Linked DNA regions of Oryctolagus cuniculus. The protein of the gene in region 1 interacts with the protein of each later gene in a biochemical or structural test. Links are inferred from orthologs where the notes say so. Each region holds a gene or a part of one and is shown on either strand. Other genes may lie near its edges. The genes, in order: GRB2, KHDRBS1 and SOS1.

The links.
Region 2: the proteins of GRB2 (region 1) and KHDRBS1 form a complex in vitro, tested with the Homo sapiens proteins (3 studies listed by BioGRID, with this or other methods). The link is inferred for Oryctolagus cuniculus from reciprocal best matches to the Homo sapiens genes GRB2 and KHDRBS1.
Region 3: the proteins of GRB2 (region 1) and SOS1 form a complex in vitro, tested with the Homo sapiens proteins (15 studies listed by BioGRID and IntAct, with this or other methods). The link is inferred for Oryctolagus cuniculus from reciprocal best matches to the Homo sapiens genes GRB2 and SOS1.

The regions. Positions count from the first base shown.
Region 1 is NC_091448.1:5,230,594-5,233,810, reverse strand, and holds the end of GRB2 (growth factor receptor-bound protein 2), read right to left. Parts: intron 1,787-3,217; coding exon 1,618-1,786; intron 1,118-1,617; coding exon 932-1,117; 3' UTR 583-931; downstream 1-582. UniProt on the Homo sapiens protein: Non-enzymatic adapter protein that plays a pivotal role in precisely regulated signaling cascades from cell surface receptors to cellular responses, including signaling transduction and gene expression.
Region 2 is NC_091438.1:140,421,454-140,425,205, reverse strand, and holds the start of KHDRBS1 (KH domain-containing, RNA-binding, signal transduction-associated protein 1), read left to right. Parts: upstream 1-1,088; 5' UTR 1,089-1,309; coding exon 1,310-1,691; intron 1,692-3,752. UniProt on the Homo sapiens protein: Recruited and tyrosine phosphorylated by several receptor systems, for example the T-cell, leptin and insulin receptors. Once phosphorylated, functions as an adapter protein in signal transduction cascades by binding to SH2 and SH3 domain-containing proteins.
Region 3 is NC_091433.1:163,884,166-163,887,115, forward strand, and holds part of SOS1 (son of sevenless homolog 1), read left to right. Parts: exon of another isoform or gene 1-946; coding exon 947-991; exon of another isoform or gene 992-2,544; coding exon 2,545-2,663; exon of another isoform or gene 2,664-2,950.

The DNA.
Region 1 (3,217 bases):
CAATACCCGGACCACAAGGCAAGGACTCAGATCCAGCCAGACGCCGTAGAGCTGCAGCCGGCCCTTCCCCGGCACACCAGGGCCGGCGGCTCCCTCAGACCCTGGCCTTCTGGCTTGGTACGGGTAGAACGCCCCCCTCCCCGCCTTCCGCTGTCTCCTCCCTCTACCCTGCTTTCCCCTCCCCTGAGGGAAAAGGATTTACAGAGAGTGGGAGACGAACCGGCTGGAAGGCCAATTTGGACTGTCTTTAATTTATCTGAAAACAAAACAAGTAAGACACATCCCTCCTAAGCAACCCGGGACATGGGGAAAGGCACCATGGGAAACAGCAATGCTCAGGGACGCCGCTCCCACGTGGAGCCAGCGACGGAGGCTTTCAGTCCGACTTTCTCAGGAAGCCGAGGGGCAGGTGACACGCCTCCCTCCCACCCCCGACAGAACAGCCCCAGGCTGGGCCCGCGGACGCCACCCTGACCCGGCAGAAGCTGCCCGCCTGCTCCTTTCTGTGTGCACGCACGGAGAACACAGCAGTAGTTGTTCCAACTAAACAGACATTTTGCATAGAGAAGATACCAGCGCACGTGGTTTCTTTTCTTTTATTATTGGCATCAGCTAGGACTATACGTGGCCTTACACGTCATGCACTGAAGAACGGGAGAAAAAGGACGAGAAAAAGGACAAAGGCGGGGCAAAGGAGCAGCGGTGAAAATCTGTAATAAAAACTCTTTTCTTAATAGGTAAGTTTTGGCATTTTTATATCCAATGCCCCCTCCCACCCCCCGAAGTTCCAACCCAGGTCAGAGAGTCACGGGCGTGAGGTGACCCAGCCAGGTGTCCGGGCTCCTGCAAGGCTGCTGGGAGAGGCAGCCCGGGGCTGTCATTCTTTCGTGTTTTCAACTTTTCACGGCTTTAAATAACCTCCCCTTGATTCTTAGACATTCCGGTTCACGGGGGTGACGTAATTGCGGGGGAACATGCCGGTCTGCCCGTGGCAAGCCCCCTTCCACCAGTTGGGGTCAGAGTTATCCATGACATGGATGAAATCTCCCCGGCGGAACCCCAGCTCTCCGTCCTCCTGGGGGTCAAAGTCAAAGAGGGCCTGGACGTACGTCGGCTGCTGCAAAAGAGGAGCAGGGAAAACACGCGTGTGACACCCCGAGCCTGGAGTCCTTCCTGCGCTGGGCACCCACGCTCGGGGGCTGCACTCCCCAGGGCGTGTCAGCAGCATAGTCAGCACCCCTGGGAGTCTGGGCTCCTGCACAGCCCAGGATCCAACACCTCTGAGCTCCTGTCGCTGCCAACACCCTCGAGGGTTTGCAGTCAAAACATCTGGATGAGCTTGAAAACATAAGGTGGTGGACTCAGCTGGGCCGCCAGGGACAGGCGCACAGGTGCGAGCACAGGCCCCAACCCTCCCTACAGGACACCCCTCACAGTTTTCTTCCCGGGACAGAATAGCTGACAGACAGGTGGTGAGCGAGCCACACACCTGACTGCAAACCGCAGGCCTCTGTGTGAGCTAAGGGTGATGTCCTGAGCACGGGGGCTGGAAGTGACCCTCTGAAAGGCACCTGCTCCTAACCGCTGGAGGTGAGCCCGACTCTGCCCCAGCCTTACCTGCGGCACCTGCTCTATGTCCCGCAGGAATATCTGCTGGTTTCTGGAGACAGACGTCGACCTGTGGTAATCCACCAGCTCATTCAAGGAGTTGAACTTCACCACCCAGAGGAAATACTTCCCCGCTCCGTCTCGGAGCACCTTGAAGTGCTGCACGTCATTTCCAAACCTGGGGGTGGGGCAGAGAACACAGCACGTGGGTCAAAGGGCTCTGGCCTGGCCCATGAGGCCCTCTGCCAAACAGGAGGGGTCCAGAGAAAGCCACTGTCTGGCAACGCTCCTCACAGCCTGCGGGCCGGTTGGCTACACGCCACTGAGCCTGGCTGGAGAGGGTGGGACGGCCGCTGAGCGTGCCGAGACCCTCACCGTGACTGACGGTCACCCGCAACAACACAAAGAGCCCTCACGGGACAGGCCAGGCCCCACTCGGTCTAATTCTACAGGCATTTATGGGATGGAGAATGAGGCCGGCGCTGCAGCACACTGCGCAGAGGCGCTGCCCGTGGCACCAGCATCCCATGCGGGTGTCAGTTCAAGCCCCAGATGCTCCATTTCTGACCCAGCTCCCTGCTAATGCAACTGGGAAAGCAGCAGAAGATGGTCCGATATCTGGGGCCCCTGCCGCCGTGTGGGAGACCTGGAAGAGGATCCTGGCTTCAGACCCGCCTAGTCCTCGTCATTGCGGCCATGTGGGGAGGTAACCAGAGCATGGAAGACCCCCCCCACCCGCCGCCGCCCCTACCGCTCTCTGTCTTTATCTCCTCTGTCTCTGCAACTCTGCCCTTCATGTAAATTACCTTTAAAAAAAAAAGGAATGTCCCAACCCATGCTGTGCCCTGCACTGTACCAACTACATCAGCCTCACTTAAGACAAGGAATATACCTTAATTAACTACGCTTCAAGCAAAAATAATTAAAATCTCAAAGGTGGGATAGAAAATAAGGTGAGGAAGCAGATACGCTCAACAAAGCTCCAGGTACCAGAAATACTCCAGTCATTTCCCACTTGGGGATTTGAGTTCTACTCACGGGATAAAGGCCGTGGGGGGAAAAAGGATGTACTGGGACAGCAAAAGAGGCCCAGGCACCAAAGTCCCCACACCCTCCATCGCCAGAAAATCCACTCCCCTTAATGCTGGCCAGCAACACAGAGCTGCCAGTGACACCTGCTGTCCCGTTCCCTGCTGAATCCTCCAAGGACTCAGTGAGCACGTGTTCCTCAAAGCCCTCCTTTGGGTCGGTATTGCGCCATAACAGGTAAAGCCCTCGCCTGCAATGCTGGCATTCCATACGAGCGACGGTCAAGTCTGGATGCTAATGGCGTAGGAAAAGCAGCAGACGAAGGCCCCAGTGCTTGGGTCCCTGCCACCCACGTGGCAGACTGGGAGGAAGCTCCCGGTTTCAGCCTGGCTTAGTGCTGGCCATTGCAGCCGATTTCTCTTTTTCTCTGCAACTCTTTCAAATAAGTAAATAGATAATTTTAACGTCAAAGGCCCTCCTTCAGTATTAAAGCCTAAAGAAGCCAACACTTTCCAAAAACAGCCAGCAGGTGGCAGGACTGGGCTTCAAGGAAGCCGGAGTGCAGGATACCAAGTGGGGT
Region 2 (3,752 bases), on another chromosome or scaffold:
CATGAACTTTTTGACATACCCTCATGTATTTTTATTTATATAACCCATAATCTGTACAAAATTTTTTATGTATTTTGTACTTTATACGTATAATTTATGGATATTAGCGTTTTGTTCTCATTTTAGTAAAAAAACGTAGCCAAGCCTTTATGTTCCCTCATTAAAGGGGTCTGAGCTTCAAATCCAGAAATCACGTTTCCAAGCACCCAGCAGGCAGTTTCCAGAGACGCTTTTGAAAGTCGCGAGCTCATTTAGGAAACAGATCCGGAAGGAAAAGGGATGGAAGGAGTACTCTGAATGGGTGAAGAAAAAAAAAAAAAAAAAAAACCTGCGGCCGGAAGGGAAAGTTAGAGACGCGCCAGGCGTTCGATGACTGATAGTAGAGACCCGGGCTCCCCCGCACGCAGCTCCCAGACCCGAGCCGGCCTCGGGCGAGAGATCCGCTGCCCAAGGCCCTCGCCTCAGCACGGCCGCCTGAGACCCGGCCTCTGCTCACTCCGCGAAATAACCGCTTCAAGCGGGAAGCAGGCTGCGACACGGACGGACTTCCCCGACTAACCACGGCTAGCGTGTCAGAACCTAGTGTGCGGGAAACCTCGGGACAGCACGGGGCTCCCTGCTACGCTTCAGGTCTCCGCCCTCTCAGTTCAAGTCTCCCAGTCAGCCGGCCGTCCCCAGCGCCACCACGCATCCCGGCGTCAGCCTCTCCCTGCGCCTCCCTCCCCGCGTGCCCCACGCAGCCAGCACGTCTTCACGCCGGTGGCCGGCCCACACCCCCCGCCCGGCTCCGCGGCTCGGCCGTTGGAGGGGGCGTGGCCCACGAGTAACAGGTCTCCCCCCCACCTCCGCCCCACGCTCGCCGCCGGCCCGCGCTCAGACAAAGACATTCCACAGCCCCCGCCCCCTCCGCGCACCCGGTCCGAAGGGGGAGGAGACACGTGTCCCGCTAGCGCCGAGTCACGTGGGAGAAAAAACGAACGGAGCCCGCGGCCGTCCGCGCACGCGCGCCAAGCTCCGGCCTGGCGGGCTCCGAGGGAAAAGAGGAGGGGGGAGGCCTCCGGTTCGGGCACCACGGCAGTGCGCAGGCGCCGTGGCCCGACTGGGGACTTTGTTCTTCGCGGAGAAACCCAAGGGCGGTGCCGGGATTTGGTGCGCACGCGCGCTGCCTCATTTCCGGTGCTCTCTCTGGCTGGGTCGCTCGGGTCGGCTTCGGTCGCTGTTGCTCCCGCTCTACCACCGCCGCCGCCAACCGCCGCCCGGGCCTCGGCCGCGTCGGTCCCCTCGATCGCTCGATCGCACATCCTCCGCGATGCAGCGCCGGGACGACCCCGCCGCGCGCATGACCCGGTCCTCGGGCCGCAGTGGCTCCATGGACCCCTCGGGTGCCCACCCCTCGGTGCGTCAGACGCCGTCTCGGCAACCGCCGCTGCCTCACCGGTCCCGGGGAGGCGGAGGAGGGCCCCGGGGGGGCGCCCGGGCCTCGCCCGCCACGCAGCCGCCGCCACTGCTGCCGCCCTCGGCCACGGGTCCCGACGCGACGGTGGGTGGTCCGGCGCCGACCCCGCTGCTGCCCCCATCAGCCACGGCCTCGGTCAAGATGGAGCCTGAGAACAAGTACCTGCCCGAACTCATGGCCGAGAAGGACTCGCTCGACCCGTCCTTCACTCATGCCATGCAGCTGCTGACTGCAGGTGAGCGGGCCTCGGGGTCCCTCGGGGTCGCTGGACCACCGGGGCGGGAGGGGTGCGGGAGGAGGTTGGCAGCGGCTTTGTTCCTCTGGCATCCCAGTCCCTCGGGACCGTGGCGGTCGGGAGCTCCCCCTCTGGCCCTCGTCTTCGGGGGCCTGAAGCCCGCCTTCCCACCCCGGCGCAGGGTTGCTGCGGGCGCCCGAAAGCGACTGGGAGATCTCCGAGCGCCGAGCTCCCCGCCCCCTTCCCGACCCTCCCCCTCCCTCCTCTCGCAGCTGCCCCGCGCTCCGAGTGCTCAGATTCTTCCAGAAATGAGCCCGTATCTCCCGCGTCCCCCCCGAGGGGAAGGCTCTTGGGTGGCGGGGAGCGCCTCGGCCGTGGGTGTCGGCGCTGCAGGCAGCCCGAGCCGGCGGGGATCGTGGGAGGCCGGAGGGCCCTGGCCGGCGCGCGGGCGTCTCGCGGGCCCGGCCGCACTTGGCCGTCACGGGAGCTGGAGTTGCGCCGAGGCACAGCGACTCGTGGGAGTCGGAGCTTGAGGTTTTCCGAATCAGATGTCCGAATCGGGCAGGTGAAATGAGGATTGTGCAGAGCCGGAAGGTTGTCGCCGTTTTATTTTACAACGTGCTTTCAACCGTCATTCAAGAAGCGGGGAAGCAGCCCTGGGGACAGTGAAATGAGATGACGGGAGGCGGTAAGGGCTGCAGGGGAGCTCCCAGGACGGGCCCCACCGCGAGGGACGGACCGTGGAGAGAAGTTGCTCGGTGCCTGCACCTGGAAGACTTGGCCTTTTGTGTTCATTCTTGCTTCCGTGGCGAGATAGATGGGAATGGTAGTCTTTGTTCTCCGCGGACGGGAGCTTCTTCCCTCGGCAGCCCTGACCCCCTCCCTAATCGCTCTGATTTCTCACTGCAGCCTCTTTTTGACCTTTTCTTATAGTTAGAAATGTTTTTCAAAGAAATATTTATTATACCTAAATGGTAGAGTAACAGTTCATGGCCTTCGACGCTGAATGAGAAGTCGGAGCCATTGACAAGATTGATACAAGGGACAGTTCATTGACAGTTCATTATGAAAATCTCATTTCCTTCCCTTTGTTCTCTCTCCCAACACTGGTAAGGGTTTTTTTTTTTTTTTAACGCAATAAACAATTAGAAAATTTCGATAAATTGCTTAAGATCTTTAACTCAGTTCTGTGCTGTCCTATATAACCACATTCTACTTTTCCTGTTTTCTTCTGACAGGCTCTTTGAGAGCAAGAATTGCTTTTTATATTTAAACATGTTTTTTGGTACTGTGCTGGACATAGCAAACTCCAGGTGTTTGAAAATGTACACATGCAAACTCAGGAATGTCAGACTAATTGGTAAAGTTTGGTTTAGCAGTCGGATTTTTAATTTTCTCAAATCTTCAGGCAGTACGCATTGCATTAAACGCAGGAGAATAAAGTACACTTTAGAGCCTAAAGGTGTTGACTTGGTTCTCAGCGCTGGCCCTTAATTAGTTACCGGCTCTGGGGAAGCTTTCTGAACCTCAGTAACCTCATTTGTAAAGTGGATGGTAAGTTTGGAAGATTAAATGATCTGTAAAATCACCAGCAGTTTCTTTTGATCTGTATCATTAGCTAGAAGAAGCTGTCACCACAATTTTTTTCTGGTTGTGAATCCATGGTAATGAACAAGGTATGAGAACTTAAGATATATTTTGCCCTTCTGACTATCTCCATTGCCCAGCGTGATGTTCATCTTTTAAGATAGTTTCTTAGGATAACCATTAAAAATCATTGATCCTTAAAGATTATTTATATTTTTCATTCTCTCACTGCTCCTTATTTTTTTTCAAACTTGGGCTTTTTTAATGCCTTTTTTTTTTAACCTAAAGAGGATGGAAATATTGAGAACAAAATTGGGTTGTGTGGATACTTCTTAGCATAGAAAAGTCTTAATGTTTGTTGGATATGGTTCTTAAGGTATTTCTAGAGAAGAGATTACAGTGAAGTCAACCAATCATAAGGAAATGAGACTGAGAAGAAAGAATAGTGTTTAATCCCTGAGAACATATATTAGA
Region 3 (2,950 bases), on another chromosome or scaffold:
TTTGTTCAGCATCCAGTTGACAAGAATTTCTAACCTATCTCTTGATTAGACAGCATAAAATTCTAAGAGAATTCTTAAGAATATTTTCCAGATGGCGAGACCAACCAATGAGTTAAAAGAAATAAGGCCAAAGATGTGCCCCAAATTTACCAAGTGTTTGAATCTAAGACCATGCTATATGTGAACATGTTCAAAGCCAACTTTACATCCATGTCTATAAGTGTGTATGCATCTGTATAATTCTTTCAAAAAGACTGCAACCTGTAATAGTCAACGGATGTGATTTTATTTTATTTCTGTATTGTACTAATTATACCATCATTTTTTAATATTGTTGAAATTAGACACTTTAAATTTATCAGTTTCCTTCAAAAAATGTCTTTCAGCCCCAAACTTTTACTGATTTTTTTAGAGTGTTTATTGCCACAAAAGGAAAAAAGCTGTATCACTTTCAGCTTGTTTGAATATCCAGAGCTGTAGTTATTTTGTGATGAGAATACCTGTCCCAGGAACACTTTTCAAAAGTATAAAGTACTAAGAAATTCCCTTTTCTTTTTAATTTGTATAAAATAATTTCTTATTTATTACTTCTTTCACAAGTTTGAATTTTCAAAATAATTTTTAGTAAATGACATTTCTGAATGGCCCCCTGAATTCTTTGCTTGATTTAATCTGTGCAACTTAGTCTTACAATAATATAGTTTTCTTGTGAATATTTGTCATTTAATTATTACATCAAACAGTAAATCTAAAACATCTTCAAAGTTCCAAATATTAACTCAGTTTTTTCTTCTCAAAAGTAAGTAATAATGAGTTTTTATTAAAAATTGTTACACCATTCTTTAGAATTAGAATGACAAGAATAACACTTTCATCATAAATTTTTACATATGGGTTGAATATATCAATGAAAGAAAAATCTACTTTTTCTTGTTTCCTTTCACAGGCAGCGATACCGTCTTTATCCAAGTAACACTGCCCCATGGCCCAAGTTAGTATATTTGGTTTAAGACTCATAATTCTTGCTTTGGCTTTAAAAAATCAAACCAAGTGTAACCTTTCCTGCTAAAACTCGTCTTGGGTCTGGCAGCATTGGTACCTTGCTTGCAACATCTTAGAAGTGAGGCCCTCACTTGTGCTATCTTTTAATCATAAGTGATTTGCTTAAATTTATATACTTTTCATGCTTTTTTAAAAACTTTTTTTTCCCTCTTTTAAAAGAACATATTAAATGAGTGGCTTCCCCCATGTAACCATTTCTCTTTTCCCACTATGGAGTTCTGAATATATTTTACTGCTCAACTTTGAAAACAGCAGCAAGAGCATGCATGCGCATATGGGAATGCTGGCAGCTAAAGCAGTGTCTGAATCACAGCTATACATAGTTTGGTAGACAGCTTAGGCTGGAGGCAAATAACTGCAGCTATTTACATGATAAGGCCCAAGTAGTTATCATTAAGTTGCATTGTAGCTCTTTGCTTTTGAAGTAAACTAACCATTCAATTCCATTATTTTAATTATATTAAGCTTACAGATTAATATTTTTGCTGTCCTTTCATAAAAAAGATTTCAAAATTTATACAATGGAAAATATTGTACACTAAAGTTAGTATACATAGTCTCTTAAGAAAAAGGTAGTTGATCATTTGAATAATTCAGAACACAAAGTGCTTTTTAAATTATTTTGTAACATTTAACTGACAAAAGCTTAATGCCTAAAGGGGAAAAAAAATCCTACCAAGTATAATTTTAGTGATTGGATGGCTTAAGTATTTTTTCATGTCCATTTTTATAGTATTTATAAACTAGCTAACTTACACATGTGTTGTCTTTCAGAGTGTAATGATTTACATACCTACATTATGCCCTTGTCACCATAAATGTCTGTTAGACAGGTTCTCAGTAGAAGCTTTACTTTGTGTGTCTGCCTTAGTCATCTTAAATAGTTTCATCGCAGCTCCAGTTTTTAGATTAGAGGCTGATTTTGCTGATACGCTAAGGATAACCTATACCTAAGCAAAATGCGGAGAAATCCTTCCCTGGACAGTAGATTCTTTCCCTTGCATCCACTGAGAGAACTGCTGGAGAGAGGCACTGGGGACAGAGGTTAGGATCAGAAACTCTATTCCCAGGAACTATCCAGAAAGACCTGGGAATTTCTATACTAACAAAGTCAGAGGCAAAAATGAACCCATCACAAAACTTAACAAAAATTACCATTCCAAAGATTTTTTTAATAGTTTGTTATCTCTCCCAAAAATCTGAGAATCAGACTCAATTAAAAATCCCAATAACAGATTGACACTGGGAATGTTATTTTGTTCAAGAATCAAAATAACAGTGTCTTAGGCAGCTTTTTTCTAAAAATTCTGCTAAGAAATTTCTGCATGCATTTATAGCAGTTTGCTTTAATAAATGAAATACTACTGGGTACTTCTACATAGTTCTTTTAATAGATATAATCAATTTCCAGCTAAATCTTTTCAAGATTAATAAATGAAATAAAATTCCCATGAACTGTTTTTAAAATGTAACATCCTACAGGATCTGCTTCAGTATCATCTATAAGTTTAACCAAGGGCACTGATGAAGTGCCTGTCCCCCCTCCTGTTCCTCCACGAAGACGACCAGAATCTGCCCCAGCGGAATCTTCTCCATCTAAGGTAAAGTAGAAAATCTTGTTATCTGGAAATTGGAATCAATACAGTTATAGTATCATCAGTTGTTTAGATATAGTTTATTTTAAACTGGGATAGATGAACATCTCAGAATATTTGGGCTTAGTTTAATAAGGATTCATGTAGTCATGTTTATTTCTTTTCTTCTGAAGTTAGTTTTGGGTATGTTTTTATAAACCAAAAGCTATTGATAAGGTTAAAGAAATATGACGTTTTAATCTGTAAAGTAAGAGTAATTTGGTTTCAAGCAGTTCTTTAAAAATACATACAGA